Alligator mississippiensis: one gene and its partners. The protein of the gene in region 2 purifies or fractionates together with the protein of the main gene of each other region. This does not show direct contact. Links are inferred from orthologs where the notes say so. Each region holds a gene or a part of one and is shown on either strand. Other genes may lie near its edges.

Region 1 (7,257 bases), on a different chromosome or scaffold from region 2:
GGGCTAATTAAGTTCCAACGGTAGAACAACGAAGCCAAAGCGTATTACCGTCCTCCTCTGTAGAGTCCCCCCCCCTTCCCCTGCCGTCCTCGTGTACTACAGGAACATGAATTAAGCTCTGATGAATGCGGTATTAATTAATTACATGAAGACATTCATGGAAGGGGTGGGAGGTAGTGGGGGCTTTGCGCTATGCAAATTACCTGGGGAGGGGCAGTTGTAAATTTGTTTCCTATTGTTTTTCTCACCAGAAGGTACAGAGTCGAAACTGCATGTTAAGTCAGTGTGGCTAACCTGCAGGCACCAGACACAGCATCAGAGAGATTTAAAGTCATCTGTCTTGTACAGCTGAGACAAGCGGTGAGAATAAGATATCTCAAAAATAAAGAGAGAGAGAAAGAAAGAGGAGCTTGTAAAGCCCACAGCTCTGTGCCGCCATTTTCTTTCACTGAGAAGGGTGGATATGAAATCAATTTCACACATGCCGAAATGGCTGTTCAAAAGGGTTTTGCTCGTAGGAAGTTAACAGGACATGCTCAAAGGAGCCAGCGCTGGGGAGCATTTTGTTTTGCATACGGAGATTGCTTGCATGTGGCATGAGCCAAAATATTAAACCATTAAAAAAAAAAAAAATCAAAGCTCTGTGTATAACTTCAAAGTATATTCTCCACCCTCTCACTCAAATGTCATTAATCAAAGGAGAAGAAGGAATGACCAATTATAATGGATGGTTAGGGCTTGGAGAGGAAAAAACGTTTCAAATAATGTTTAAGTGAATGTGTTGCTTAGGTTGAATCACGGAGGCAAGTGTAAAATGTGATATAGGCAGGTCCTGCACCCGCTCCCATTTGCGCGCAGCCCTACTCATACATGCTCAGCCCTGCAAAGCTACACCAAAGCCGCCCAGCACCTGGATATTACTACTAAAGAGCTCTATTCCTATACCACCATGCCAGCAGTGGCCCCGCTGGTACTTTGCCAATCCCCAACAATAGTGAGTCTTTTGCATCCCCATCTAGTCCAGTTCTAAGCCCTTCTCTGCAACTTATTTTTTTCCTTGTGATCTTAAGGAAACTTTGAACTCGGGTGTACACAGCTGAAGGCTTGATGTAGTCACACCATAGCACTAGAAGGAGCTCTTGACATCCTACTGGCGTTGGCCACTCAGTTTGTTCCAGATGACATGGCCCAAGTATCTCACTTTGCCCCACTTCTGGTAGATGTTGCCACATTGTTCTCTCACCTTACGTTTTGGATTATGGAACTATGTGCAACTATACTTGCAAAATATATGTTACAGTGACCTGTTTTGCAAATACTCTTTAAGTCCTTCTTTAATTGTTGAGAATTATTTAATGTCAGAAGTCAAAGAACCATAAATATTGACAGCACATTTTGGACCTTGCTTTCCCCACTATTATCCTGATCAGACTGTTCTTACTTCAGCATTTTCTACTCCTACCAACTTCTCATTTTTTTAATAAAATTCATTTCTCCAACATTTTTTCTAAATATTTTGCTTTTCCTCTTGTTTCTCCAGCTCCCTGGAATGCTATCCTCCTTATGCATCCCATCCTCAAGTCTCTTCTATCAGGCTCATAGTCCCCTTTCATCCTCCCTATGTAGTCAAGTGCTGCAGTTGTACTGAATGCTACCAGTAGTTGACTTTGTTGCTTGTGATGTTTTCGCTTTCTCACCAAATATACTCTTTAGCACTCAGCTGTAGGGTGTTATAAATATAACATCATTTACTCTCAATTTCTTCAACACATTTTAAAATGTTGGGTTTGTTTTCTTAAACTCACCTTTAAAATAAAATCCCACCCTGGCTGTGTGATTGCCCTTGCTATTGTACCAATCTTCCTGTTAATTGGTAACTGTTAAATTCAGATTATATACCAAGCAGTTTACATCCAGAACAAAACAGGACTGCCAATCTGCTTTGCAAACAAATGCTTTCCTTCAAGAACAAAGATTTTTAAAAACCTCTCTGCTAACTTTTAAATGCTCATTGAAAACGCTCTTATTTTCAAGGTTTTCCACTTTGAATAACCACAGCTTTCTTTTTTTTAATCTCAAAAGAGAGCAATCGGAAAGAGAAGAAAGGACTGGTAAAGAAAATGATTAGAGGAATGGGTACACGACAAAAGGAGAGAAACTTCATCCCTTCCCATTCTAAGTGCAAGGCACACTTCTTCAAGCTGCTTTCTCTAGTGCAGACAGAGCAGTGTCTGCATTTTACAAAAAAACCCCAAACCAATAGCCTACCAAAACAAACTACCGTACTATGCACATAATGCTTCCCCTTGGGGGGACAAGGCGGGGCGAGAAGAGACAGAGATGAACCACATGCGACATGCTAGCCACATCACTTAATATGCTACTAGAATGTGTTCAAATATTACAGTGATGATGAGCATGATATGAAATCCTGGGTTTTATTCCTCTATCACATATTTTATGTATGGCTTTAGACAAATCACTTTTCTATCTTCCCTCAGGATCCTGGACAGTGGAATATGGTAACCCAGTGCCTACCTCATAGCTGTGTTATGAGACATGAGACACGGAAGTTTACTGTGTGCAATGCATTATTTTATTAAACAGGCACTGCTTTCTGATTGACAGTGCTTGAAGGGAATATGCTCGCAGCATGCAACACCTAAAGATGCAAAGGACCCATTTAGAGGGGTACAGGTTGGTGTAATGAAGACTGAAGGGATATGCTTAAATAAGGGAAAATGAAGACAAGACATCAACCCCCTCCCCCCAACATTTACAGACTTACTGCTTATGTTTAACTGAACAAACACTAGACAGCGTGCTCTGCTAATATTTGAGGAAGAAAAAAATTGCATTAGTCTGAGGGTAGATTTAAGTCTTTTCTATCCATGTTTTGTGAATCTGCAAAACCCTTCCTACAATATTAATAACCCATCTATTTCCATTACCAAAGCAGCAGCCACTCTCCATTTTTCACCAGGATGAGCAGGTAATTTTGGCAAAATGAGGGAGGGGAAAAAAATCCAGCTCTTCCATGGCAAACAAATGTATACAACATCCCCGACAGCTGGTCCTTGCCCTTTGTGGTCCACAGTCCCCCTCAAGGCTCACAGAAAACTTAGTGAAAGGTAACCCTCAGGTATAAGCTCACCCTCTCTTCAAAGCCTGGGATCTCTTCTTTTCTTCTGTTTGTTCCTTAACTCTCTCCTGAGACTTGATTACTTGTGTCTCCTCAGCCTTGCACCATCTGTCCTTGGATACCCTTTGTTATCAAATCTATTCCCACAGCTCCAGCTACTTCAGGGATCTGCAACAAACTCCCAAGAATTTCCCCTCCCAGGGCTCCAAACCCTTCAATTCACCTGCTTCTTAAGCCTCCTCCTAAGTAATACAGGAGAGCTATTATTACTGTATGCGAGGTCTGGAGGGTGGCAGCAGAAAACAAAGGATAGACTCTATTTTGTAGCTCAGGGAGCTTATCTTCAGGGAACGGCATTGTGGAATCAATGCCAGACTGAACTTGCAATCAGGTACGTAAGAAAAAGGTCAGTTTACATCGATCAGTCCTGCCCTGGGCTAGTTCCTTTAGTTTGCTTAGGCTAAGCAGCCAGCTTCATATATCATGAACCAGACCCCCAAGTTCAAGGGACTAGGTCAAAAGCCAAGGGGCAGTCTCACACTCCCTCTCGTGTATTTGAGTGAGGGACATTGCTTTAGGCATTTCAGTCTGCCATTTTGGAGTTTAGCTCTCCCTGCCAGCACAGGAGAGTTTCAGCAGTGCTAGACAGAGTAAGGTGACTTTGGGCAATACTATGTTTTAGGGGCTCTCCCTGGAAGACCCAGGTAAAAATAATAGTAATAATAAAATTAAATTAAATTAAATAAAAATCAAACTATGCTGATTATCCAGAATGCCTTCTGGGGGCAGGGGGATTTCAGCTTTGATGCCAAATCAAACCTCCAAATTTTAGTTTGTTCTGGCTTCCCCTCAGCCCAGCAATTCATCCATTATGGCCTTTGGTGCAGCCACCTCAGACTGGGCTTTTGGCACCTGTGGGACAAATTGGCTGCTCCTACCCAACAGGCAGGAAAATTAGGAATACCATTAAGCGGAGGATGTTGCCTCCAGACAAGGCTGAAAATGTTGCGATGCCTAAGGCTTCTCGTGTCGATCCAAGCTTGGCTTCATCCAACTCCACAGTTCCCTTTCAAATGGCCAGAGCTGGTGGCTCCAGCAACGTAAATGTTGAAATAAAAGTGAATGAGCTATGAGATGCATCCTAGAGAGCAGAGCAGAGGCTATTATATCCTGGGCTCACAACCCCAGCCCGATCCTTCAGCTGAGAAAGCTAGGGAGACATGACTTTCCCGTCTGGACTCTTCCCTGGTCTCTAACTCTACTCAGAGAAAAGGGAGCTTGTTCACAAGCCCCTATCCAAACATACTTCCCACCCAGTTCAGTTTCCAGCATCCCTCTGGGGACTACGCATTTAAAAGCTCCATTTTTGTAGGGCTGCATTTGGGAGTCAGCTATGCTAGGTTTGTAACTGCTTTTAAAATGACGGTTGCACTTTGTTACAGTCCCCATGCTGGTTTACATGCTCAGTGCCAGTTTTGATGTGAGTGGGAGAGTAGGGACTCAAATTCAAGAGCTGCTGCGAGCTCTCAGTTGTCACCGACTTCAGATGGAATATATGGTTTTGAGACTCAAAACTACAAACGTATTCTGAAGTGCCTTCCCCCCCCCCCCGTATAGGCATGCTGGTCAGCTCATTGACTAATGAGAAACACCACTTCTATATTGGTTGTAAAATAAGAAAACGCCCGCTAGCTAGAAATGCTGGAACTTTCAAGAGAAGCAAAGACCTTTAGGTAATGGGAAAGAAGACTGCGTTGAGAAAACGAATAAAGGTTTGGTTCTAGGAGAGACGAACAAAAAAGACAGGGCAGGGAGGAGGGAACTCAACCAATAAGTTCAGGCCTTAGTCACAGCCCTGGAGTTAGAAATGGTCAAGTGTTCCCATCAAAGCATTTTTGCCAAATCAGACAGTATTTAATTTTGGCAAGACAATCTTAGTCTGAAACGTTTTTATTGGCTGGTTTCTAGTTTTTCAACAAGAAAAAAAAACCAACAACTTTAGAAACGAAAGAGTTTTAGAAGAAGCTTAAGAATTCTGTTTCCATTTCTCGTTTAAATACTAGATCCCTCCCCACACTCCCAAGCAAGCAGGCAAGAATTTTTTCCTTCAGAGCTTCCCACAAGGAAACATAACCGGGATTTTTAACCCATGCTAACTAGAACCAAGACATGTTTATGGCATTATTTTAGTTAACAAGGTATAGTTTGGCCCCATCTATACTGTAGCTTAACTATGTAATGGGTCTTTCGCAGTGGAAATGTAGAAAGATTCAAAGCTGGTTTATAACACTCTTATTCTCTTTAGTCTCTATTTTCTTCTTTTATTTTTGCATCAGATTTACCAGTATATTTTTTACATGATCTGTAAAGGGGGAAAATGAAGTAAAATTAGATGAAGTGGGGGGGAACCCCCCCCCCCCTTATTTTCAATCTCCTTTCCTATACCAAAGCCACCACAAAATTACCCAGCAATACCAGCTTTATTGGAAACCAACTCAACTTACTTTTACAAGAAAGAAAGAAAGAAAGAGAGACATATTCACCCCAATACAACAGGCTCTTCAAAGCAATTCCTTACCTCTTTTTTTCTTCTTTCTTTTATACAGGATGACAATTACTCAACCCAGCAGATTTCCCTTCCTGCTAGGCTGCTTCAAATAGCTTCACCTGGGACAATTGACCTCCAGTCTTCACAGCTAGGATAATATTACAGGGAAAGGGGGTTTCCTTCTTTGACTCTTAATCCTTGCACCTCTATGGATTATGCAGGGTTTATACAACTAGTGCCAACCTCATACTGAATTTGTAACTACTGTAGCCATGTATAGAGATCTCCTCTTTTCCTTCTCAATTCATCTCCTTTATGTCCTTGTTAAAGTCTTTCAGATTGACACACAGTTCCTGAAGCCTGACCTTCAAGGCCTCTTTTTTTTGCAGGTGCTGCCACTTGATTGAGGTTTAGACCCATTAAATTATTCTGGTTAATGATTTGAGGCATGATATCTGCTTTCTGACCCCATCCATTCCAAAACATTAACAGCTGTCCTGCCAACCCATCTTTACAGCTAACACCTACCATACAGCCCAACTACCACTTGAGTTTCTGTACTGATTACAGTCATAACAGATGCTCAATTTAATGATGTTAAATTGAGATCCCATCTACCAAAATCCAGCTGAAGTTAGATCCCATGAAACTTTCCAAAGAGGATCAAGAATAACATATTTTCTTGAGCGCCCTGTCCAACTTTTATTCCCTCCAGAAATCAAGTGCTGATGCTCAAGGTACTATTTTGGAATACACCTGTGTGTCTACACATTCATTAATGCACTGTAATTATGGCACATTAATTTTAGTGTCTAGAATAACAGGTACTAAATGCACTGTAACTGGCATTTTGTGTGACACTTAATGCCCATTGGACTAATCTACTGCGCATTAGCACAGTTTTTGCCAGCTGCACTAATGCACAGTAGAATTAGTCCAATGGGCTTTTAGCATCTCACGTAGATGAGCCCATTAACTGTTGTAGCTGCCTCTATGCTCTTTATGTACCTGGTGGGTGGCTTTGTAAGGGCTTTAAAATACAGTAGGCCTGTGCAAGTCGGCAGCGATCTGATCCGGCTTTGGACCCAGCCGCTTCGGGTGGCCACGATCTGATCCGGAGCTCTGGACCGCGTTTCCACCTTGATTGGGCCAAGAGCCACCTTGGAGATCTGGCCATAGGGTATAATGGGGAATCAATGAAATATCTATAACTTTGTTGTTTGTTGTCCAATTTGGATGAAACATTCAGGGATTGTAGCCTCTGCTGAGAGCATAAAATCTGCCAAACTTCAAGATCAGTGAAGCAGTTTGGGGGGAACTGTACCCCAAATTCTTGAAAGCCAAACTCCTGTCACGGCTGTGTGTTACAACACAGAGGGGTCAAAACTGCAGGTATAGTAGCTCTTATGGAGGCCACAAAGCCTGCCAAGTTTCAAGGAGATTGGTGCAGGGGTTTGGGGGGAACTACACCTCAAGTTGCGGACAAGCAAAACTCGTGACATGGGTGACACTGGGTGTGTTAAGGCGCAGCGAGGTGACAGCTGCAGGGATGGTGGCCCCTGCTGTG
Region 2 (8,055 bases):
TAATAAAAAAAATCTCAGTGACCCACGCAGGCCTGATGTGCACAAAGCCCATTGTCTCTGACACTGCATCAACATTGCTTGAAGCTTCCAAACTTGGCAGAAACTGTAAAGAGCTGGCCCCTCCAAGACAATCCTGGAGAGGTGCCAAGGGGGTTTCTCACTGGGGTCAAGTGCAGCTGAGACATGTCTACCACTGCAACAGCAATAAGAGTAACACTGAGAACCGCATTTCTCCCAGTAAGGTTTTCACAAAGGTGCCCACGGCACACTGTACATTAGGCACCAAGTTACTGCAGCACTGTGATAACCAGAGGGTACTGCTCCAACAGGCATTACCGTTCAGTTAACGTGGTACATGTCCAGACCAAACTGTTCATGGGTTTATACCAATAGCCAGTTTGGAATTACCTATCCCACCTCCCAAAACAAGACACTCTTTCAGATCAAGACAAGACATGATGGCCCTAGGGACAAGATCCTGCTTTGATTTTAATGTTAACCATCACTCCACCCCCATCCCAGTCCCGGCCATTAAAGGTTTCCCCTCGATTTATGCGGGTTCTTTATATGCGAATTCGCTCTTATGCGATGAGCATATTTAGACCTATAATTCGTTATATGCGAGGTAAGTTCACTCTTATGCGATCAGCATAGATGCCCCCCTGCCCAAACAGGTAAGTGTGTGGGGGGAGGGGAAAGGGCCGTGGCCCCACTCACCCCAGCCCCAGCTATATCACACACAGGCTCAGCAGAAGAAAAGAATGCAGGTCTACCCTGACACACAGATTTTCCTCAGCACATCTCAAAGCACCTCTATGGGAGGTACGGCCCTGCCCCTCTTTATCAGGTAAGAAACTGGAGGCAGAGAAAGGAGGAGCGACTTACCCATAAGCCACACAGCAAGTTGCTGGTGGAGTCAGGAGTGAAAACCCAGACTCCTACTCACTTCTAGGTCATGTCAGGCAGAACATGAATAGGCTAGTATTAAGAACTGACACATCGTTCTCCCCAGTCCAGACACAGCTGAAGATGTTCTTGCATCACACTTACAGCACCAGCACACCAACTCACACTTTAGTATTTCCAAGTGAAAGTTACTTTACCCCATGCAATCACATTTTAACAGGCATCAGGCTCAGCCTGGCTTCACGAGTCCAATGGAAGCCAAGGACTCCCCCTCTCCCCCTGGTCTTGTCAACCCCTTCCCTCTATTTCAAGCCACACGATACAACTCAGAACTGCATTTGAGATCAAGTTGTTCGCAGATGCCGCATTAAAGAGAATTAAATGATCTGCAGAACCGTACGGAAAGAGAAATCCAAGTCAAGTTTGGAGGGGGCAGTTTTAAAAAGAATTATTGAGTGTCTGAAAAAAGGCCAACGATGAGACCATTTGTTAGCTGTTCCCGTTTAACTGGGCATGCTGGGGGGAGAACAATGTTGATGTACCGAGATGAATCTCTTTAGCAACAGTCCCTGCCTCCCCTCTCCAGCTGTCAGGCATGCAGAGAAACCCCCAGCTTTGCGCATGCCTCAAACCTCAGAGAGACAGAAACCGCTTCATTCTGTCACCAGAAAGCAGCAGCAATTGGCCCTTGTGTCCTAACAAGAGAGCGTTATCGTTCCCACTTCCAGGCCAGGCTCTTTTTGCCACCTCTTACCCGAGGCATCTTCTTTGCACACAAAGACAGAGGCTGGGTAGGGAAGAAACAGGGGGGGGCGAGATAGGTTTGCCACCCCTTGAAAAACAAGTCACTTCAGAGGTCTGGTGCCATAACAGAGCCTGTGACAGTCCGGGACTGTGGCAGTCGAACTTGTGTGTACACCCAGCCTTCAGCAAGGACACGCACCTCCTGTTTGACTCCTGCACTGCCCTTCACAGGGGCCCAAGCCCCCCAGGTCCCCTCCCCACCTCATGAAATAGCACAATGTCTTCTTCCCTGCTTAGTCAGCAGCCCCCTCCTCTAAAACCAGCTCTGTTCCCAGCACCCCATGAAGCCCTCACTGGGCACCACAAAACTCCCAGCTGGGAAGGCAGCTTAAAGGACCCCTCCTTTTAGAGGGGTTAGAAGATGTTCTAGGGGTTAGAATGTTTAGGGGTTAGAAGATGTTCTAACCCCACACAGCAGAGCTGCAACCCCTTGCTGGGCCAGCTACATCCTGCACCCCCTCCTGCAGCAGGTGAAGCAGGTACAGCCCCTGCACTATCCTCCCCCCAGTGCAGCCCTCTCTCCCTGGAGAAACCCCACTCTTGCAACACAGTCCACTCACTGCTGCACCCCCACCCCACAGCACCCCTAACCCACTGCATAACCCTGCACCCCAAGTCACTGCATCTCCTACTACAAGCCCCTACTCCACTGCACCCCCACCCCAATGCAGTGTACCCCCACCCCACAGCACTCACGACCGCACCGCACCCCCTACCCATTGCACTGCACTGCCCACGGCATGGCACCCCTAACCCACCACAGAACACTGTATCTCCGACTACAACCCCCTACTCCACTGCACCCCCACCCCAATGCAGTGTACCCCCACCCCACAGCACTCACGACCGCACCGCACCCCCTACCCATTGCACTGCACTGCCCACTGCATAGTGCCCCTAACCCACTAGAGAACACTGTACTACACTGCATCTCCGGCTGCAACCCCTGACTCCACTGCACCCCCCACCCCAATGCAGTGTACCTCCACCCCACAGCACTCGCAACCGCACCGTGCCCCCTACCCATTACACTGCACTGCCCGGCTGCATGGCGCCCTCTACCCCACTACAGAGCACTGCACTCCCACCCCACTGCACCGCCACCCCCCCGACCCACTGCATAATACTGCACCCCACTACACCGCGCTGCACTACACCCCCTGCCCCACTGCACTCCCCACCCGGTGCCCGGGGCCCTCGCGCGGTACCTGCTCCCGAGGGTCCTGCTTCCATCCCATCCACCCGGGCGGCGGCCGAGCCTGGCTGAGCGCGGGGCGGAGGCGGGGGCGGGGGCGGCCACACCGACACCTCCCGCTGCCGCCGCAGCCTCTAGGCAGCCTCCTCCACGCCTGGGCCCCAGCGCGCAGGCGCGGCCAAGCAGCCAATCAGCGCCGCCGGCCGGGCCGGGCCCGGGCGCCAACAAAGGCGGGGGCGGGGGAGGCGCCCCCTGGCGGGCGGCCCCTCAGCGCGCGCCGCCATCTTGGGCTCAGAGCGAGGCTGAGCAGCTGCTGCAGGGCTCTGGCAGTGTAGTGCAGTGCATGCAGTGCATGCAGTGTAGTGTATGGACAGGCTGCCTGGGCAGTTATCCCCAAATAACCTGCTCAGTCAACTTGAGCTGGGCAAGCAGAGAACAGCCAGCTCCCACACTAATGCCTGGCTGCACCCCCTTGCCCAGCACCACCGTGGGCCTCCTGTCTTTCTGTGCGTGGGGTCAGAAATGGAGAGACGTGCATGCTGTTGTGTTTCTAAAGCCCTTCGCCTCGAACCCGCCTCAGGGTTCGCGTGAGCTCGGATAGATCCACGCACGGCGAGCTCGCATGTGGACATGTCCCAGGCCACCGCCGCGAGGAGCTGCGCTCGAGGGAAAGCCTGCTGAACCCCCCCGCCGGACGCTCGGGACAGCCTGGAAACATCCCACGACTGCGGCGTTTCTTTTAGCTCGAGAGCGAGCGAGAGACGGAGCCCCAAGGCACACATTTTCCCCCGGGGGAAGTCGTCCATCTCTGAAAACAAGCAGTCATTAAGTGGCTCATCGAGCACCCCGGTCGTTACCATCCCGCTGTAACGATGGTTGCTGCGGCAGGAAGGCCGGGGCAGAGTAACGCAAAGGGAGGAGGCAGTCGTGTGACGTTGAATCTGCAGGGGACGTGGAAGCGCCTTCCCGTATCTCTAGGTCAAATCTGTTTCTTCAGGTGGGACCGGGACATCTGATCAAAATGTCCTTATGCTCATGTTACCGAGCCACCCATTAAATGACTGCCATAGTAACTAAGATGCCCTACAGCACTGTCAGCTCACAGAAACTGGAACAGTTTGTATTTCCTAGGGGGATTATAGCCTGTTTGGCAGAGGATTTTTTTTATTTTGAGACTCATTTTCACTGCCAGTTCATTGAGTGAACAGTAGGGGATGTGCTTATTTATTTGCAGCTTTTATTCAGTTTTTTGGTATGCGCCTTGTTGGCACATGGCAGACCCCTTGGTTGGTAGGACAGCAGGGGCACGTTTGCTGGTGTCGTGGCTAAGAGCACTGCAGTCATAAAGCTGTGGCAGACGAAGGTCTCTGAAAACTTGAGTATCTTGTGATGCTGCAAGCAGTGCATTTTAGGAAGTGAATCTGTCCTGACTTTGCATAGCAGCCGATGCTATGGGTGGAAGGGGGGGTCCCCGTCTAACTGCAGGCCTGAGACTCTGGTGTCTGCATCTAACTAGATGCCTTCAGCTGCCACACGTCCCATTTCAGAACCGATTCACTTCCCATCCCACCAAAGCACTGCCAACCAGAGATGACAGGGACCCAGCTAAGCAAAAGGATGCCGATGTTCCCACATGGGAACATTGATACCTGGTGTATCAGTGCCTTAGGCAAAGGAAGGTCAAATGGCAATCCTCCCCTCAGGGAAACGGAGGTGAATCTACATTAAGGGCCTCACCAGGTTTTAAAACAAGGAGAAATGCAGTTCACTCTTCCTCACTCTAGCTTGAGCAGTCTCCATGGCTGCTGCAGTGATAGCTTGTATTGTGTTCCCTTGAGGGCTTTACTTCCAGGATGCCCAGGTTGGAAAGGGGTCACAAAAATGAGAAGCAGAAGGTGTTTGCTGTAGCACCATGCTGGATGATTAAGGTGGCCTTTCATGATTTGCACTGGTATGGATGGTGATCACTCATTTTCCTTAACACGAAGTGATCTAAAATTGCAAGGAGCACTTATCCTGCAGTTAAAGGACAGGACTGAGAAGCATGTAAAAGAATAACATGCTCTCTTGAGAGACTTATGATGAAATTTGCATGTCACAGATGGCAGGATCCAGTAGAACCAGAAGCTGGTCTGGATTTGAATTAACACAACTGGCCAAAGGCAGTTTCTGCACCAAAATATTAAATGAGCTCTCCCTAAATAACTTTTCAGAGTTATTTGGAATGATGACCTTATGTGTGACCTTACCATAAGCAGCACAGAGCTCGCTGGCATCATTTCAGGTGAATTCAATGCAGCCCAGGAAATAACTGAAAATAAGGACCAGCGTTCATCTTGGTTTTAAATCATGGGTCATGGAATTTAGCAAAGGAAAATATACTCAGAACAGGTCTGTTTGCTTCAAGCTAGTTTTAGAATTATAGGAAATAGGGCTGCAAGGGGCTCTAACCCCTCTTCCTATCCCAGGGCAGGCTCAGCTTCATTTAAAACATCTGGACAGATGTTTGTTTCAGTAACAGATGACCCAACCTTCCTAGGAAATCTATTTCAGTGCAGTCTGGTCAGTAGTCAGGGCCTGTTTTCCTATTTGCATAGGAAGGATTTATGGAGAAAACTCCTGATTGGATTAATGGGAGTTACCCAGATCAGTGATTTACACACCAGCAGCAAGAGAAAGCTATCTTGCAGTTGGATTTCTGAGCATACCTCAGTGCTGAAAGTTCCTTGGAGCCGGTAGCAGCAACAGCATCTGAAGAGCCAGTGCAGGGAGTGATGTGTGTTTGTGTTCACAACTGTGCACTTGTTCCTCTGCCTTGCACATAAATGCAGAACCCATTGCTGATGTAATTACTGAGAGTCAAACTATGGGAAATGAAACCCTGAGAGCTGATCATGGCAGCATTTTCCCACCAGAGACATCTTCCTCCTGACCTCATCACGGTCTCAGGCCCTGATCCTGCAATCTTGTTCCTGTAGATGGAGCATGAGTTCAAGGCAGACCCTGCCCTCAACCAATACTAGATGGCAGAAATGGGGCCTTAGAACCTTTTTTTATAAAGTAACAATTATGGTGCAGGGTCTGTTGTGTTCAGCATCTCCTTGGCAGCATACCACCATCCCTGCATTAGCTTATTTTGTACGACAGAAGTTATAGCTGTATCTTTATCTTTGTGGGCTTTGGCATTTTTATCAATTTGGCAGCTCTTGGCCATCAGAGACATTACCAGGGATCACTATGTGGAAGTGGATCTCGTCGATCCCCACTGCATTGGCTATCAGTGACTAGAAAAGGAACCTTCATAGCTCACAAATGTCTTCCAAGGTCAGTCCTCAGATGGGTAGAAACTAATTGAAAATATGTCATTGCAATTTGGTATAAGTGGAGCAAGGGGTGGGGAGTCAGGACTTAGGAGTTCCATTCCTGGCTCCACCACCGACTCCGTAATACACCCTTGTTCCTCAGTTTAACCCTCATGGAAATCAGTACCAGTAACCAATACATTCTTTCAACAGAGGGGGAAGAGCATGGACCTCTGCAGCTTAAGGAAGAAGTGAAGCAGTATCATGCAGGGTGAAGAACAGACTTCTGTATTTCAGGCAGCCCCAAGTCAAAACATTTTCTATTCAAAAGATTTGCCTACTCTTTCTGAATATAGATGGACAGATGAACACACAGATAGTGGTGTCTTAGGAAATGGGGGTTAGCAATAATCAGTGATCCAGTCATTTCCACTTCAACTTGGAAAGCTAGAAGGAGCCCTCTGAACAAAGGAGACTGACTGGAATAATTCATCAAGTGATGATGCTTTGGCCAGTCTGGTGGGCATCCCCAAACCATTGAAGCCTCAGCTACACATTTGACCCTCAAATCACTGGTGTTGTGATGACAGCTGAACTAGAATGATCCAGTATTGACGCTAATCTGATTAATGGTTGACAATCTAGCCTTTTATTTAAACTACAGATCCATGATTGCTGTGCTGGGTGCAGTCTGAAAAACTAGTCCTTGAGCTGCTGTTTCCCAGCAAGGAGGTAAGACTGGAATCCTGTTGGCTGGAGTAGGGAGCATATGACAAAGTGGGGGGACAGTAGTTAGAGGTGCAGAAACACCAGTCATAGGATTAATTGGAGAGAAGAGGGGACCACCTCTGTTGCCCTTAAGCAGTGAAAGATCACCCTTGAACCTGACCAACTTTTAAAACAGATAAGCTTTAGTGTGGTTCCATTAAATATGTTGCCAAAGCTGCTAATCCATTTTATGCTTATGACTCCAGCCATAAGAGCTGCTGCTCTTATGGCAACTTCAAATACAAATGGTGTGAGTACCAGGTTCTGTATCATTCTAAAAGGATTTAATCACCTACACAAACAGACCTAGCACTGATATTGTTAAAGGAGAAAGAAGTTCACTCTTCTGAAGGGTAATCATACCAGACAGAGCTGCATTAGCCAAGGGCAGTGGTGACACCAGCAACATCATCAAGTTTCAGTTAACCAGACATGGTGTCACGTTGGGTTTGTGTCATTTAAGTTCTCAGGTACAATTTCTACCAATCCTACCATAGTAGAAACCATTATTGGAAAAGGGATTGTACTGGAATTGTCCCTACCTTTACCTGTACTGCCAGGAAGGCTTTGGGGGTATTTGCTGCCAAATTGTGGAATGCTTATTTTACTACCGAGGACCTGATCCATAGATTATAATTACATGCAAGAGCAACAGGGATGATGGAAATCCAGAGGAATGATTGATGGATTTAGCCTGCTTTGGACCATGGTAACCAAGCTACATAGACTCCAGTGATGATAGTAAAGATGACAGCAAGCAGAAACCCATGAAATACAAGCTGTTTGGATCATGTCATACCTCAAGGAAGACCTCAAAGGACAGAAGAACCTGGAGAAGATGGTTGTTCTTACTTCCAATGTGTCCTGTCTCCAGCTCTCTGCAGTTGCCATGTTCCCTTTTGTCCCAATAGCAACTCACTGCTGGAACCCAGTTTCCCTCTGCAGCCAATATTCCCCGCAAAGTTAAATATATTGAATATTGATGGAAATACATCATCTATTTTTGTAATCAATCCTTAATTATAAACATATCTTGGAAAATGTTGAAGATCAGGTATCTATTGTTCTTACAGTAGGGCA
Region 3 (7,795 bases), on a different chromosome or scaffold from region 2:
TGGCTGCGTGGACAGCTCTACCAGGCACTGGTACAGGCCGCTCAGGCTCTGCTCGGCTGTGGGGAGAAGCAGGGGTCAGGGTCAGGGGCATTGAGAAGGGCAGAGATCTAGAGCGGCTGGGACCACACTGGGCTGGGGAGGGCCCTGCTCTACGGGGGATGGGACTTAGGAGAAGGGACCCAGGAGCTAGTGCTAGGGGCAGGGATGGAGACACAGCCCAGAGGGGGTTGGTGGGAGGGAAGAAAGGGTCCTGGGGTTGGGGCTGGGAGGGTGCAGGGGGGAAACCTCACCAATGTCCAGGTAGCTGATGGCAAAGCTCTGCTCCTCGGACAGCTCCTGCAGCAGCCCGCAGTACCCGGGGCTGAGAGCGCCCAGCGGCTGGCTGCGCAGGTGCAGGATCTTCTCGCCCACTGAGTTGCGCAGGGAGTCCCAGGTGCAGCCGGGTAGGCGGCCACGTAGCCCGTCCAGCTTGGGCACTGGCGCCTGGCACAGGTAGAAAGAGGGGAGTGTGAGCTGCATGCCCATCCCCACCCACTACCCCATGCACCCCAGCCCTGCACTCACGATGGAGAACTGGTCGTCCTCGGCTTCGGCCTCACTGCCCTCGCGCTGCTCCATGGGCACATTGTGGATCCGCACCAGCATCTTGGCGGCTGCGTTCCTCTTGGCCAGCTTCTTGGAGGTGCCGCTCCCTGCAAGGTTGAGGAAGGTGGGGTATAATGTCGCTGCTGCGCACCTGGCAATGCAGGGTTAACTCTGGTACAGCGCGCAGAGAAGGCCGGAGTGAGGGGCATCGGCAGGGCTGGGGGGCAGGGAGCTGTGGGGAGGGAGGAGCAAGGGGCTGTGGGTGGTGAATGAGGGGCACTGGCAGAGGCAGGAGGCTGCAGTTTGGGAGTGAAGAGTAAGGGGCATTGGCAGGGGGGTGTCAGGGGCTGCAGGTCAGGAGGGAAGGGCACCAGCAGGGCCGGTGGGGGCAGAGGGCAGCGGGTCAGGAGTGAGGGTCACCGCCAGGGCTGGGGGGGCTGTGGGTCGGAAGTGAGGGGCAGCAGGAGGGCATGGGGTCAGTGCCCACAGGCCCCTGGTGAGCTCTGTTAACACCAGGGGCTGCGTGTCACTGGTCTGAGGCCAAGCCGGCCCCCGCCCCCCTGCCTGGGGTTACCGATCTCCATGAAGCGCTCGACGCGGCAGGTCATGGTGAACTCCTTGCGGTGCGCCGGCCCCGACTCCTGCGTCACCGTGTACTCGGGCAGGCGCCAGCCCTTCTGCACCACCAGCTCCTGGGGGCAGGGATGTGGGTGGGGTAAGTGGGCCCCTCCCTGGGACTCCCCCAGCCCCACCGGCCTCCAAGCAGAGCAGGTAGGGCAAACTGAAGCACAAAGACCTCCTGTCCTCCAGCTCCACCTGAGAGACCATACTCCATCCAGGTAGGAGACATTGCCTAGGCCAGGCTGGAACAAGGAGCCCAAGGGGATGAGGAACCCCAGCAGCCTCCCCCCCAGCCTACCTGCAAGGCACCCACAGGGTTACACTCGGACTGCTGGGGTGACACGGGTGCCTTCATCTCCAGCGGGGAGCTTCTGAGCGAGACAAGGGCAGGCGCTGAAGGGGCCCAACCTGCCCGGGCAGGCCCTTCACCCCGATCCCGGCAAGGGGCTGCTGCAGGGGTGGGGGATGAGCCCCTATGACAGACCCAAGGAAGCCCAAGTAGTAGTGGGGGGGAGACCCGGCCCCGTGGAGCTGGGGGGGGGCAGGTTTAGTCCCTGCAACGCCCTTACTCCACCCCTGAGAGTGCGGAGGGGCTCAGTGCCAACCCCAGGGCAGCCCTTACCTGGGCGAGGCAGCGGGCAGGGCGGGCGCGGGGGGGGCCACGGCAGGGTCCAGCGGGGGGAGGGGCTCTAGGGAGAAAGCAGAGCTTCGAAAATAAAAGGTACAATCATTAAAGCAGGCGGCGACCCCTGCCCCCCCACAGCTTGCCCTCACCTGGCGCGATGGCACCAGGACCCCACCCCGACCCACCCTGGTGCTAGGAGTACGGGCTGAGGCAAAGCCCGCTGGCACCCGGGACTCTGCCCAGCTCCTCCACCCCCACGTCCCAGCACCGCAGCTGGGGAAAGCGAGGCACGGGGCAGAGAAAGGACCCACCCGAGCTGCCCCCTGGGGGCAGAGACCCAGGTGTCCTGGACGGTCGGCTTCTTGCCCCTCCCCAAGACCCCCTGATCTTCCTCCCCCCCTCCCCCCCGGCTGGGTGGAAGGTGCTGGGAGGGGGGGGTCAGAGCAGCCCCCGCCCCCCCGCAGACCCCTCACCTGGGCTCCTCCGGCACCGCCGGCTCCAGCATGTTCCCCCCTTTCAGGAGCTTGAGGGCCACCTCCGCCGCCTTGTGCTTGGCTGCCTTCTTGCTGGGGCCCTGACCTGCGGGGGGCACAGAGCTGGAGCGGGGCCGGCACCGGGACACCGGGGTCCCAGCCGGACCCCGCCAGGCGGGGTGGGGGGGGCACTGACCGGTGCAGCCAATGTCGCCCACGGTGACGCGGAAGGTGAAGTTGGGCTGGTGCGCCTGCCCCTCCGCCTTCAGCAGGTCGTACACGGGCGTCTTGCCTATGCGCGTCCCATACTCCTGCAGGAGGCTGATGGGCGTCTTCCCCGGGTTGGAGGCCAGCATCTGCTCTAGGCTGCGGGGCGCGGAGGGGTCGGCCGGGGGCAAGATCCTCCCCCACCCCAGCAGCCCCAGGGGAGGCCCGATCCTGCCCCAGCAGAGCAAGGGGGCTGCCCCACTGTGCTCCCCGCCCCCCACCAAGAGTTAAGCCCCGCCCCCATGTTCTGACCCCGCCCCCTTGGAAAGCCTTGCCTTCATCGTGGATGCAGTCACGCCCCCCAGAGAAGCCCCGCCCCTCCAGAGAAGCTCCGCCCCCCGGAAGAAGCCCCGGCAACCTCATCCCGGGAGCAGCCCAGGCCCCGCCCCCGATGACGCCCCGCCCACGTGAGGCCCCGCCTCGGAGGAAGCCCCGCCCCCGAGGCTAGGCCCCGCCCCCGTACCTGGGGCAGGCGCCGCTGGCGGTGGCGCGGGGCTCCTCCTCCTCCTCGCCCTCGCTCATTCCCCCCGCCGGCCCCGCCCGCGCCGCCGTGCCTGCCCCGCACCCCGCCGGCCCCGCCGCCGCCCCCGCCAGCGCGCGCCGCCGCCGCAATGGCTGCGGGGGCCCTGGCGGGGGCGAGCGCGGGGCAGGCTGGGACAGCGAGGCCTCCTCGCGCCGGGTGGACTCGCCTGCCCGGCATGCCCCGCGCCCGAGCCCGCCGCCGCGCGGCATGCTGGGACGGGGAGGGCCGCGCGACCATTGGCTGGGGGGGAGGGGGGAGCTCTACAGGGGCTTCTTTGCGCGGCCGCGGGGCATCCTGGGAGCGGGAGTTCCGCTCAGCCTGAGGGAACGTTGGGCTGCGCTCCCGGCATGCCCCGCGCGGCTTGGCTGAGGAGCACGTGCGACTGCGCTACCCAGAGAGCTCCGCGCGCGCCGCCCCGGTGGATCCTGGGAACGGCAGGCTCCGGGGCCGCGGGACTTCCCTACCCACAACCCCCCGCGCGCCGTGGGGCCTGCTGGGAGGACTGCGTTGCCCACAATGCCCCGCGCGGCCGGAGGATGTCGGGATTGCGGCTTTCTCGAGAGAGCCGAATGGGGTCGGGACTACGCCTCCCACAGGTCTTTGCGTGCAAGGGGCGGGGCGATGGAGGCGGAGCCTTGCCATTGGCTGCGCGCGACCACTCTTCCCCGCCCCCTGCTCTTGCCTCCTGGTGCCCGGCTTGGCCCGCTGATTGGGTGCGTACCCCTTCGGGCCTCGCCCCCTGCGCCTGCCGCCCTTCTCATTGGCCGGCAGCAGTGGGGCCCGCCCCCTCCCCGCGCGGGGATTGGCCGGGCGCGCGGCGGCGCCTGGGCCGCGTCCTGCGCCTGCGATGGAGGGAGCGCTCTTGAAATGGACCAACTACCTGTCCGGTACCGCCGCCGTCCCGGCAGCCCCCGCGCCTGCCCCCGCCCTTTGACCTCTGCCCCGCCCTCCGCAACATCCCCCAGGCGGCCCTGACCTTTGACCCTTGACCCCGGTCCCTGGAAGGGAGCGAGGCTATAGTACTCTGCTGACCTTTGACCCCGATCAGAACACAATGCCCCCAACCAGTCCTGACCTGTGACCTTTTGAGCCCTACTACCCCCCCTGCAGTTGTCCTGCTTGCCCCCTCCTCTTCCCTGAGCTTTGACTTCTACCCCACTACCCCCAGCGGCACCAGGACAGCTGACCCCTGACCTTTGAGCCCTGCCCCCACCCAGAAACCAGGCGGGGCTCCGGTGCTCCTTCCCCAGCGGGGTGTGACCTCGGGGCCGGGGTCCCCCGTGGGACTGGGGCTGCCCCCCAGGTAGCGAGGAGGCGCCTGGGCTCCCTGCACCGGGGCACGACCCTCCTCTGCCTCCTTCCTCCCCCAGGCTGGCAGCCGCGGTACTTCGTGCTGGACAACGGCATCCTGTCCTACTATGACTCGCAGGACGACGTGGGCAAAGGCAGCAAGGGCAGCATCAAGATGGCCGTCTGCGAGATCAAAGGTGGGTGCAAGCCTGGGGACCCCCCCCCCCTGCCCCTGCTCCAGCCATTCCCACTGCAGGAGGGGACCGTCATGGCACGGGGTCTCCTCGGGCTGCCACGTTCCCCCCCAGACCCAGCCGCACCCGGAGTGCAGAAGTGCTGAGCTGGGTCTGGAGGCCGCGCGGGGCCCCAGGCATCCCGTCCTGTCCCTTGCTTGAGCCGCCTGTCGGCACTGGGACGGGAGCCCTGACCCCCGGTGCCGCCTTGTGCCCCGCAGTGCACCCCACGGACGCCACGCGCATGGAGCTGACCATCCCCGGCGAGCAGTACTTCTACCTGAAGGCGGGAGGCGCTGCTGAGCGGCAGAAGTGGCTGGTGGCCCTGGGCAGCTCCAAGGCCTGCCTGGGAGACAGCAGGGGCCAGAAGGAGAAAGGTAGGGCCGGGCTGGAATAGCACAGGGGGAAACTGAGGCAGGGTGGGGACACGCACTTGGTGCCTCCCCCTTGGGTCTTTTTGGGGGGGGGCTGCAGTATGGGGCAAAGGGGGTTGGGGGTGCCTGGCTGCAGTACCGCAGCGCAGCAGCAGGGGGCATTGTGCTGCAAGCTCCATCATTGATGTCTGATGAGCCCCTTCCACTTTCCTCAATGTGGGGCTGAGCTGCCCCCCTCCCCGGCCCTCCCCAGGACCATTTCTACCCACTTCCCGTCCCCTCCTGTAATGCACCCATTGCTACAGGTTGGAATGTTCCACCCCAGAAGTGGGTGCATCTCTGCCCCTACACGCTCTGCGGGAGGGGGCAGGGGCCAGGCTCACTGTGTCCATCACCTTCCAGACCCGCCCCTGAGCACCGAGTCGCTGGGCCGGAAGCTGTCAGAGCTGCGGCTGTACTGTGACGCGCTGACCCAGCAGGTGCTGGACATGCAGGAGTCCACGCGGCCCCGAGACGACGGCGCCCCGCTGGATGTCGAGGTGCCCGGGGGGAGAGGGGTGGGGGCAGCGTACCTGCCGCCACTTGCTCTGTCGGGGTGCTGGCAGAGGCTAGGTCCAACCACCTAAGCAGTGTCTGGCAGGGGAGTGGAGTATAGTGGCTAAAGCAGGAGTTTGGCGGGGGGCGGGTGGCATCTATCCCTCCTTTGCTCTTGGAAGCAGTTACCTGAGGCAAGCAGGCTCCCCTGCCCTGTGCCTCAGTTTCCCTGTGAACGAGAGGCTGGGTTGGGGGGTCGGGTTCCTCTCTGTGATGAGCTCTGTCCTCCAGAGGATGAACGAAGCCTCCTCCCTGCTCCGCGCCACCTGCAGCCAGTTCCTGTCCACGCTGGAGGAGTGTATGAAGTTCGCCAATGCCCGCCTGGCCCCCGAGCTGTACCCGCCCTCGCCCGCCCCCCTGCCCTCTGACTTCGTGGGTACCAAGCTCCCGCACTCCCACAGGGTAAGAGCAGCCCCCCCGGGGGTAGTCGGGGGTGCTGGGCTGCTGGGAGCAGGGTGCAGTTGGGGCACAGCCCTTGTGGGTACTGGGCCAAGCAGTGGCCCACCTGGTTACCCAGCATGCTTTGCTTCCTGGGCGTCTGGGGGAGTTATGGAGGTCTCTCTACCTGCCCTGCAGGACAGAAGTCTCCCAGCAGCTATTGAGGAGGGTCTGGGGGTGGGGCCTGGATTCGAACCGGGGGCTGGGCAGCTTCCACCTCCCATTGGCTCTGGTCCAGGGTGCTGATGGGCTCCTGCTGTCTCCACAGGTACGGCGGTCCCTCAGCCACACAGGCGTCGCGTCGCCCGACAGGTGAGAACTGGGCTGGAGGAGGGGGGTCCCCAAGTGGGCAGCTGTGGGCAAGGTGGGGTATAGGAGGGCTGCGAGGCATCCAGTGGCAACCCCCAGGAGCCAGCTGGTCTGGGCATGCCCAGAGAAGGGAGAAGAGCCCTGTCTTGAGCTCCTGACCCCTCGGACAAGGGGGGGGGCATGGGGCACCCCAGAGCTTTGTACCCTATGCCCAGCTGACATGCCCCCTCCTGCAGGGTGCTGGAGCCAGCTCGGGCCCGGGCCGCGCCGGCCCGGGGCACCATGACGGTGCTGCGCAGCCTGGAGGAGATGGTGCCACTCCGTGCTCAGCCTGGGACCCCCCCAGGCCCTAGCGCCAAGGAGTGGGGAGGTAGGCCCCAGGCGTGGGCCCTGGACCAGCTGGTTTCTGACCCAGTCTTGGGAACTGGGGGGCCCTGCAACCCTCCCCCCTGGGCATAGCTGCCCCCGGGACACGCTTAGCTGTCTCCAACCCCATGGCCAGGAAGGGAGCAGGGAGCCAGGACTCCTGGGGTCCATGCCTGGCTGGGCTGCCAACCTGCTTCGAGGCTGTGGGCAAGGTCTCTCCATGCCTCGGTTTCCCCTAGGATGGTGACCTGCTGGAGGCGTGGGGGGAGGGGCTGTGCCAGCCCTCCAGCACATGGGTCTCCCTAACCCCTCGCCTTGCCTTCCCAGAAGCTCCACTGCCAGCGCAGGAGACATCAGCGGATGGTGAAGCCAAGCGGCCGTGAGCCCCTGCTGAGGACCATGGGGCTGCTCTTGGCCACTACCCCCCTGCCGCTATGGCAGACTGGTGACCTGCCTCTCCCCTCAGTGCCTGGGGCAGTGCCAGGGGCTGCCTCGAGCAAGAAAAGGACTCTGTGTGTGTGCCAGAGCGGTCGGGACAGTGGGCACCAGCTCAGTGCCTGAGCCTGGGCAGGCCCTGCAACCCGGGTCTTGGGGGCACAGCTGGGTCTGGTGCCCAAATGCTGCTCCCTGCCCAGCCTGGACCCGCACCGCGATGCAGAGGCCTGAGCTGGCTGCGGTTGCCCTCTGGCACCGGCATGGGGCCCCCAAGGCGCCCAACATGCCCCAGGCGGCGGGGGGAGGAGCGCAGGCAGCTCATAGAAACGACTCCCCTTGCCTGCCGGAGCAGGGCTGGACCCCTGTGAGAGCCCACCTTGGAGCAGCTGGGGGCACCCTCTGCATTCCTTGCCCCTGCCCCCAGCTCTGCCACCCTGGGGTCCCCACAAGAGCTAGCCTGGTGCCCCCTGCCCCCCACAAAGCACCATAGGGTGGGGCCCAGTTGCTGCAGCCTACTTCCAACCAGCACCCCCCACCCAGGGTATAGGGACCACTGCAGGCAGGGAAGTGCCAACCTGCATGGAGGATGGTGCCTGTGTGGCAAAGGCTGCTGGGAAGGGACAGCTCCTCCCAGCCCCACGGTGCCTGCAGCTACAGCAGGG
Region 4 (7,143 bases), on a different chromosome or scaffold from region 2:
TCCCAAAAGAATATGAAATCCTTATTTTACTTAAAAACAGTTCTCCCTACTCCTTCCCCCCAAAAGTCACTGAAATACCTCACCAGAGGTCATCAGGGAACCAATGCGAGACACAAGTTTGTTTGGAAATTTTAACAAAACACATATGGAGGCCTTAAAGGGAACGCTGCTTTGAAAGACCTGTATATTACCAGGTGCAAAAAGTTCTAGCACTAATAAATAAGGAACCATAAGTATATCTTATTTTAGAAGCTTTGTATACAAGTCTAAAGTACTGATAAGGAAATATTTTAAAGGGCGGTATAGGCAATCCAAAATGTAAGTGCTATTTAAATATACAAATTAACAATTCCTCATTATTTAAAACTGTTGGCTCTTTGTAATACCTCCTTGCAGGCTGTAATTTAATTCAGTTTCTCTATCACTGCTGTTTGGCAAGCACTGATCTTTCACATTTTTCCCCTGTAGAAGGTGCCAGCATGTGCGCCATATCACTAGCATTATCAAAACAAGGTGTCACGCTTCTGAGATATTATTTGTAACGTGGTACCACTTACAGTTTGCAATTAAGATGGGGGCCCATGTTTAACTGAATATTAGCATGTAGTATTTAGCTCCTTAAGATGGAACGTTCTGAAGAGGATGAAGATTGGAAATTAAGATCCTTATCGAGAACTTGAAGTTTCAAATCCCTGGGTTACAGTCATCAGGAATAAACTGCTGATAGTTACAAGTTACTTGGCAACAGGACAAGTGGCCTATTAGTATTAAAAAACTGACAACTATTAACAACAGAATGGCTATTACTGAAATGTTGAGACTTTGAGGGGGGCTGGAGTGGCATCTATGATTTCCTTCCTAATCCGCTCGTTCCGTTGTTCTTCATTCAAAAGCTTCATGCTCCTCTCCCAAGTGCTAGGACCCTGCTCCTCATCCCTCCTGGCTGCTGCCAGCGCCCTCAGAAGAGTGACACGCAGCAGCAGCAGCAGCAGCTTTCCTCCATCGCAGAATCTACTCTTGGCACCAGGACTGCTCCTCCTCCTCCTCTCCGCTCCATGCAGGTATTGTCCCCCCCCACCACCTTCTTGCTTTGTAAGCAGTTCCTGGCACAATCTTACAATTATAAGCTGCATTTTCTTTTCACTTCAAAAGAGATCTTGCTGAAAGTTTTGTGCAATGCCAAGGCAACTGAATTCAAACACTGCAGAGGATGTGGGCAACTACTTGAATTAAAACTTTCCAAAAAGTATTAGGACAATTCTCTTAATGCACTGGTGGACTTTCACATTTTGGTGACTAATTATATTTCAGTGCATCTTCAACCAACACTTTGCTCTTCCAGCCAAACCAGGCGTGTCAGCAAATATTTAACACCATATAGACTGGGTATTCTTTCCATAAAGGGAACGCTTATGTTTTAGTTTATTTACATTCTTTCTAGGCGTACTTTAATTTTGTATACAGACAAATGGTTTTTAAGCTGCGATTAAGAATTGTTCCCTTCAATTTGAAAATGACCCTAAAGTATTTTCTGAAGGATCCTATTACCTTTATTTTCAGGCTTCTATACAAACTGCACCTTAATTCAATTCTATTGTAACCCCACCCCAAATAAAATAGCATTTAACAGTTAAACAAAAGGCCAGCTCTTGAGTATGGTGCTACCAAAAAAAAAAAAGATATACTCAAGGGACAGGAAACTTCAATTTCCAGTGTTGTTATAAAGCTAACTTAAACTTCAAAATAGACTAGACCCCCAAAAAAACAGGACCTGAAAAATACGGTCCTAGCAGCTGCCCTTGAGTTTTTGCCAAGTTTTGAACCAGGCAGTCCTCCCCAACGCAACTCCCTTCATCGTAACTAGCCCTACAGAGGGCATGGAGGAAAACCAAAAGAAGGAAAAACTGAATATAGTGAAAGACAGTGCCAACGTGATAGCAGAGTTGCAGGTATCTGCAAAAACATCGTCCTACTAGGACACCTGGCACGTGCCTTTTCACAAGAGCAATATACACAACCCTGGTGTCGGCGTCTTAGCGTCACATGCTAAGTCATCAATATTGAAACTCCCGTGCCCTCGGCCTCCCAGCACATCTCCAGCACTGGTCACGGGCAGAATCGTGGCCTCGATGCCTGGATACAGAGGATGACGGGTTGCTTCACAGCAGAGAGCTCGTACGAAGCTCGTGGGAAAGGCTGGTTCATCGACGTTAAGGCGGGGTCGACTGGACAAGTTTGGGGGGAGCCGACCTGCAGCGCTGCGTCTTCCCAGGGGCTCCTCCTCGGAGCAGGAACCCCATGCCCCCCCCCCCTTCCCACCAATGATTTGCACACGCGCGTGTGCAGAGCGACTACACAGCCGACCGAGCCCGATCCGTCTAAACCCGGGATTTCTGCCTTCCCTTCTTTTAAACCTTTTTGCAACCGGTGACCTTGCGATTCCAGGCAGACATCGCAGCCGGTCTCCAGGAAAAAAAACCCCCAAAAAGAAACGGGCGACGGACTCGCGCGCGTGTGAATCCGTCTCCACCGACCGCGCGGTCGCTCGTTGCTCCGGCGCGGCGCGACATGACACCACCGCGCGGGAGCGACACACGGCCGCGGGGTCGGCGCCGCCGCACAGCTGCTCGACGACGCCGTCCCTTCGCACTCGGGTGCACGCGTGTCTGTTGCTTTGCACACACACACACGAATACTCCGTGACGGCGCGGTCGGCATCTTGTGTGGACACGCACGCACGCACACACAAATACACACGCACGCACACGCACTCACGCACACGCTCGCCCCCGGGCCCGGGAGCAGGGCGGTTTGTTTCTTACCTGCGTAGTTTTCTCCCCACGTCTTTGGTAGCTTTGGCTTCCAACTCTCTGCAACAGAAAGGCCGGGCGGTTGGTCGGTCGTTACGGCGGGCGGTCGTTACGGCGGTCGGTGTCGGGCCCCCGCCCGCCTGCCTGCCCGCCCCCCTCACCCCGCCGCGCCGCACCTCACCTCATGTAGGTAAAGTGCTCGGAGTCCGGCCCGGGCCCGGCGCTGGCCGCGGCTCCTAGGCGGCCTGGGCCCGGCACGGCGGAGCGGGAGGCCCCGGCAGCTGCTGCTGCAGCGACGCCGCCATTTCCTGCCTCCTCCTAACCTGGCCGGGTCCGGCCCGGCCGCCCCGGAAGAGAAACCCCCGCCCGGGCAGCACTTCCGGGGCGCCTCCCCCTCCCGCCAACATGGCGCCCTGACAACCGCCCTAGCAACCGCCACAGGCCCGCGGGGCAGCGGGACCCCCACAGCCAACATGGCGCCCTGGCAACCGCCCTAGCAACCGCCACAGAGCATGGTGGTCGGGGGCGCCTGGGCCCGAGGTTCACCATTGCACCCCAAAATAGGCGCACGATGCGTGGAGAATGAAAAGCGGCCTTCCCCCGTCATTCATCTGAGCACAGCGCGCCATGAAGCCCCGGGGGTGAAGGCTGCCGGGCACGGTGTCAGCGCTCTCATCCGGCAGCAACTGTTGTACGGGACCGGCCGCTGTTCTGCGGCTCCGTCGATACGAAACCCCACGCCTCGCTGTCCTCTGTTTGTGTCTGGGGCAGAAAAGTTGAGGATGTAAAGCTGCCGGGTTTCGTATCGGACAACGGGCCTGTCCTCGATGACGGCCGCCCAACGTTAGGCAACCATCATGGAGGACAGGCCGGTTTCCTGCTCCTCTCGTGATACGAAACCTGATGCCTTTACATCCCCTGTTTTTCCCTTGAAGACAAAAACAGAAGACATAACGGCGTCGGGTTTCATATCAACAGAGGACCGAGGACAACTGGGCTGTCCTCTGTGGTGGCCGCCCGACGGTAGGGTGGCCATCGTAGACGACAGTCCGGTTTTCTGCTCCTCTGTCCTCTCTTGCTACGAAACCCAATGTGTTTACGTCCTCTCTTCTTTTCAAGAGAGGAAGTAAAGGTGTCCGGTTTCGTATCAAGAGAGGACAACCAGACTCTCCTCCACGACGGCCAACCTAGCTGGCGTGGGCCCGCTGCCTTAGACCGACATGGCGGTAGGGCGGCCGTCAAAGACGACAGGCTGGTTTTCTGCTCCTCTGTCCTCTCTTGAGACAAAACCCGGCGCCATTTTGTCTTGAAGAGAAAAACAGAGGACCTAAAGGCATCGGGTTTCGTCTCAAGAGAGGACAAAGGACAACCGCGCTGTCCTCTACGATGGCCAACCTGGCTTGGGCACGTGCTGGGAGGAAAGGGGCATCGGTCGCTGCCGAGCGGGGAGCGAGGGGCAGGGGCTCCGCGTCAGAGGTTGCAAGGGGGAGAGGAGCAGGGGAAACCATGCTCAGACCGGGTCACTCTCCCCCCAGCCTTCGGTGCAACACGGGCTTCTTGGCATGCTCAGCGAACGCGGGCCTCGGCCCACCGTGAACGTCTAGAAGCCCCCTTAAAGAGGGAGGCCGCTGAGAACGCAACGACGGGTTGCTTAGGACGAATGAAAAAGAAACCAAGAACGGGAACGAGGGTTACGGGTTCAAAACCAGGGATGCGGAGGGGGACACAGAGCAGAGCGCGCCAGCCAGCGCCCACTCGGGGCGCCAACTCCCTTTGAATCTGTTCCAGGAGGTTTCCGTAACGCCGACGGACGTGCCCACGTGTTGGCATCTATCGGCCGTGGGCTACGGCGCGTAGACTTTGCGTCGGGAAGGCAAATGCACATTTCTACGACATTTTCAAAACCCACTGGACTATTGTATACGTCGGATGCAACATTTCATTTTTACTAATGAATTTAACATTTCATGTTTATTAATGAATGCCCTATTATTTATCTCCTGGGTGCCTCTCAGCCGTCTCCTGGGGATTTAGAGACTTCTTGGCAATCCTAGCACCTGCTGCCCCGCTGAACGAGTCGAGGGAGCCGGCGGTGACGTGGGCAGAGGACGGAGAGGACAACAGCACCATCCTCGCCCGGGCACTTCCCGGCCAGCCTCCTTCCTCATCTTGCAGATGACCAGCGTGGCCAGAGCCAGGAGGAGGTTGACCGAGAGATCCCGCGGCTTGGTGGGACCATGCATGGGGAGTACATAAAAGGAAAGGTGTGGGGGGAAACGCAGCCAGACTCTCAGCCGGAGCTGCGTGACACAGGTCTATCTGTTGCTTTACCACGGGACACTGCCCATTAAGAAACGCTATGAGCCTCCCTTGAAAAGGAAGGCCGCTATGAATTGCTTGGGACGATGAAAAACACACCAGGGACGGGAGCGGAGGTCAAAGGTGCACCAGGAGGGGACACCGACTGGGCACGATGCACCTCTGGTCTGACCCAGTAAATGGCCGTTCTTATGATCTTAATGACTTGACATAAAGGAAGCTAGGCCTGGGTTTTAAGGGGTATAATGGGATGAAGAGACCTTGCAAACAGTAGCGTCGAGACAGAGCTCGTCTGACAGCAAACCGGCCGTCCGGGGGGGTGCAGCCACAAAGCAGACTTGCAGTTCTCAAGGCAGCAGCCCACGAACTTGGTGAATCTTCTTGACAAGGTTCAGAAAGAAACCAAACCTCTACTATTGGTTTCAGTTCTGACAACACTTTACTAGAAAGGAAGCGCACAAAAACAGCTGGTGGTCTAAAGGCGCTAACTTTTGAGAGAAAAAAAAATATGAATAATGAAACGAATCAGTGTCCGCATGGGGGCACCTACCTCTAACCAAAGCATTCATTCAACACAAAAAAAGAGGATTTATTTAGTCTAAAGCAAGAAGCGTAACTAGGCTTCACAAGAGTAAACAAACAAATGAATAATTAAAGCCTTGGAAAGACCAGGGGATTTGTGTCTGTTTGGAACAACCTCTCTAGGATAAGACGCAGAAGTCCAAAACCGTAGGACTCTTAAATGTAGATCGTGCAAGCAGTAGAAAACATTACGCTGTAGGAAGCAAAAGGGCTTTAGCCGGGGATGGACCAGACATCCAAACGGACCGTTTCTGCCTCCAGTGGATATGGCTTTATTTTGAGGCATCAGATTAGCATCCAAGCCAGGTGTTGCACGCTACGGACTATACAAGAACTGTCTCCTAGAAACTTCCCCTCGTATTCATGATTTCTCTCTCACACCCCCCCCCCCACACCACCCCATTCCTCCCCACCCACTCACAGCTAGATACTACCCCTGCAGCAACTTCAGCAATTGCTTACATGGTCCGTTAGGATGAGGAGAGCAGTTAGTATAGTTTTAACTGTTGTGGAAGTGCAATTTATGAAGTTTTAAACGTGGAGGAATGTTAATACGGTGCCAGAGGCAGCACCAATCAGCTTATTACAGATCACACGTTTCAAACCACCAATCTAGGATATGCAAAGCAATGAGTGAAAAAGCAAGCGAATCAGGTCCAAAGTGAAGAATTTTCTTATTGGCATATGGGTATTCACATCAATTTTTCATTGGCCAAGTAAGGTATTCAGAGACTCTGATGATGGGGACCATATGTCTTACTAGGCAGGTAGGAATTACCCGTGACATATCCTGCAATGAACATGCTTCTCCATTTAAATTGGGTCCTACAATTCCTTGTTTTGGAAAAGCATCATTTGCTAAACACCGGGCCAAAAGAACCTTAAATAATCCACTGGAAAATATTATCCTAGGCAAACAATGACATCTTGCTGTGTTTGCAGCCCAAAATATTGGCACAGTGAGAATCTGAAAGTGGAAGTAAAGAACAAAACAAAGAAATAATGGCAAGAATTTGACATTATGATTTAACACGTATATTTTACTACTGTGGTGCCCAGAGGCCCCATGTGCAAACACCCCCAAGCAAACCCTCCCTTCCCCTACCAGATTATACTTGTGGGCTCAGAGCTACACGTTCGTTTGCACGAGAAGACTCCGCATGGATGGGCCTGTGCGGAGGAGCTCATACGCTGGATGCCCAAGGAAACAGGTGATACATGACTGCTGAGAGAAAGGGATGCAATCCAAGTATATACAGCTCAATTAAAATATCATTATAAATAGAAACCATTTCTGCCACCTAGCCTTCCTTGTCAGCAGTCATTGAATGATTTTTCTACAGACATCGGAGCAGAGGTGGATCCCGAGGAGAAATACTTCTCGCTGTTGAAAATTCAGCAATCTAAATGGTTAGTACTGACATATGTAAGG

Evidence for each region.
Region 1: the proteins of protein argonaute-1 (region 2) and TNRC6C purify together in Homo sapiens (affinity purification with mass spectrometry; 5 studies listed by BioGRID and IntAct, with this or other methods). This does not show direct contact. The link is inferred for Alligator mississippiensis from reciprocal best matches to the Homo sapiens genes AGO1 and TNRC6C.
Region 3: the proteins of protein argonaute-1 (region 2) and TARBP2 purify together in Homo sapiens (co-immunoprecipitation; 4 studies listed by BioGRID and IntAct, with this or other methods). This does not show direct contact. The link is inferred for Alligator mississippiensis from reciprocal best matches to the Homo sapiens genes AGO1 and TARBP2.
Region 4: the proteins of protein argonaute-1 (region 2) and TNRC6A purify together in Homo sapiens (affinity purification with mass spectrometry; 10 studies listed by BioGRID and IntAct, with this or other methods). This does not show direct contact. The link is inferred for Alligator mississippiensis from reciprocal best matches to the Homo sapiens genes AGO1 and TNRC6A.

Annotation. Positions count from the first base shown.
Region 1 is NC_081831.1:15,730,876-15,738,132, forward strand, and holds the start of TNRC6C (trinucleotide repeat-containing gene 6C protein), read right to left. Parts: upstream 3,232-7,257; 5' UTR 3,155-3,231; intron 204-3,154; exon of another isoform or gene 1-203. UniProt on the Homo sapiens protein: Plays a role in RNA-mediated gene silencing by micro-RNAs (miRNAs). Required for miRNA-dependent translational repression of complementary mRNAs by argonaute family proteins.
Region 2 is NC_081829.1:8,966,015-8,974,069, reverse strand, and holds the start of protein argonaute-1, read right to left. Parts: upstream 3,028-8,055; 5' UTR 2,944-3,027; coding exon 2,919-2,943; intron 1-2,918.
Region 3 is NC_081838.1:8,695,038-8,702,832, forward strand, and holds the start of TARBP2 (RISC-loading complex subunit TARBP2), read right to left. Parts: upstream 3,188-7,795; 5' UTR 3,094-3,187; coding exon 3,035-3,093; intron 2,671-3,034; coding exon 2,501-2,670; intron 2,411-2,500; coding exon 2,305-2,410; intron 1,913-2,304; coding exon 1,829-1,912; intron 1,680-1,828; coding exon 1,505-1,679; intron 1,278-1,504; coding exon 1,160-1,277; intron 693-1,159; coding exon 565-692; intron 484-564; coding exon 291-483; intron 57-290; coding exon 1-56. Other genes in the region: pleckstrin homology domain-containing family A member 3, read left to right, coding at 3,942-3,981, 4,465-4,581, 4,839-4,994, 5,394-5,530, 5,817-5,987, 6,292-6,335, 6,569-6,702, 7,026-7,081. UniProt on the Homo sapiens protein: Required for formation of the RNA induced silencing complex (RISC). Component of the RISC loading complex (RLC), also known as the micro-RNA (miRNA) loading complex (miRLC), which is composed of DICER1, AGO2 and TARBP2.
Region 4 is NC_081836.1:58,591,747-58,598,889, reverse strand, and holds the start of TNRC6A (trinucleotide repeat-containing gene 6A protein), read right to left. Parts: upstream 3,144-7,143; 5' UTR 2,997-3,143; coding exon 2,992-2,996; intron 2,871-2,991; coding exon 2,823-2,870; intron 1-2,822.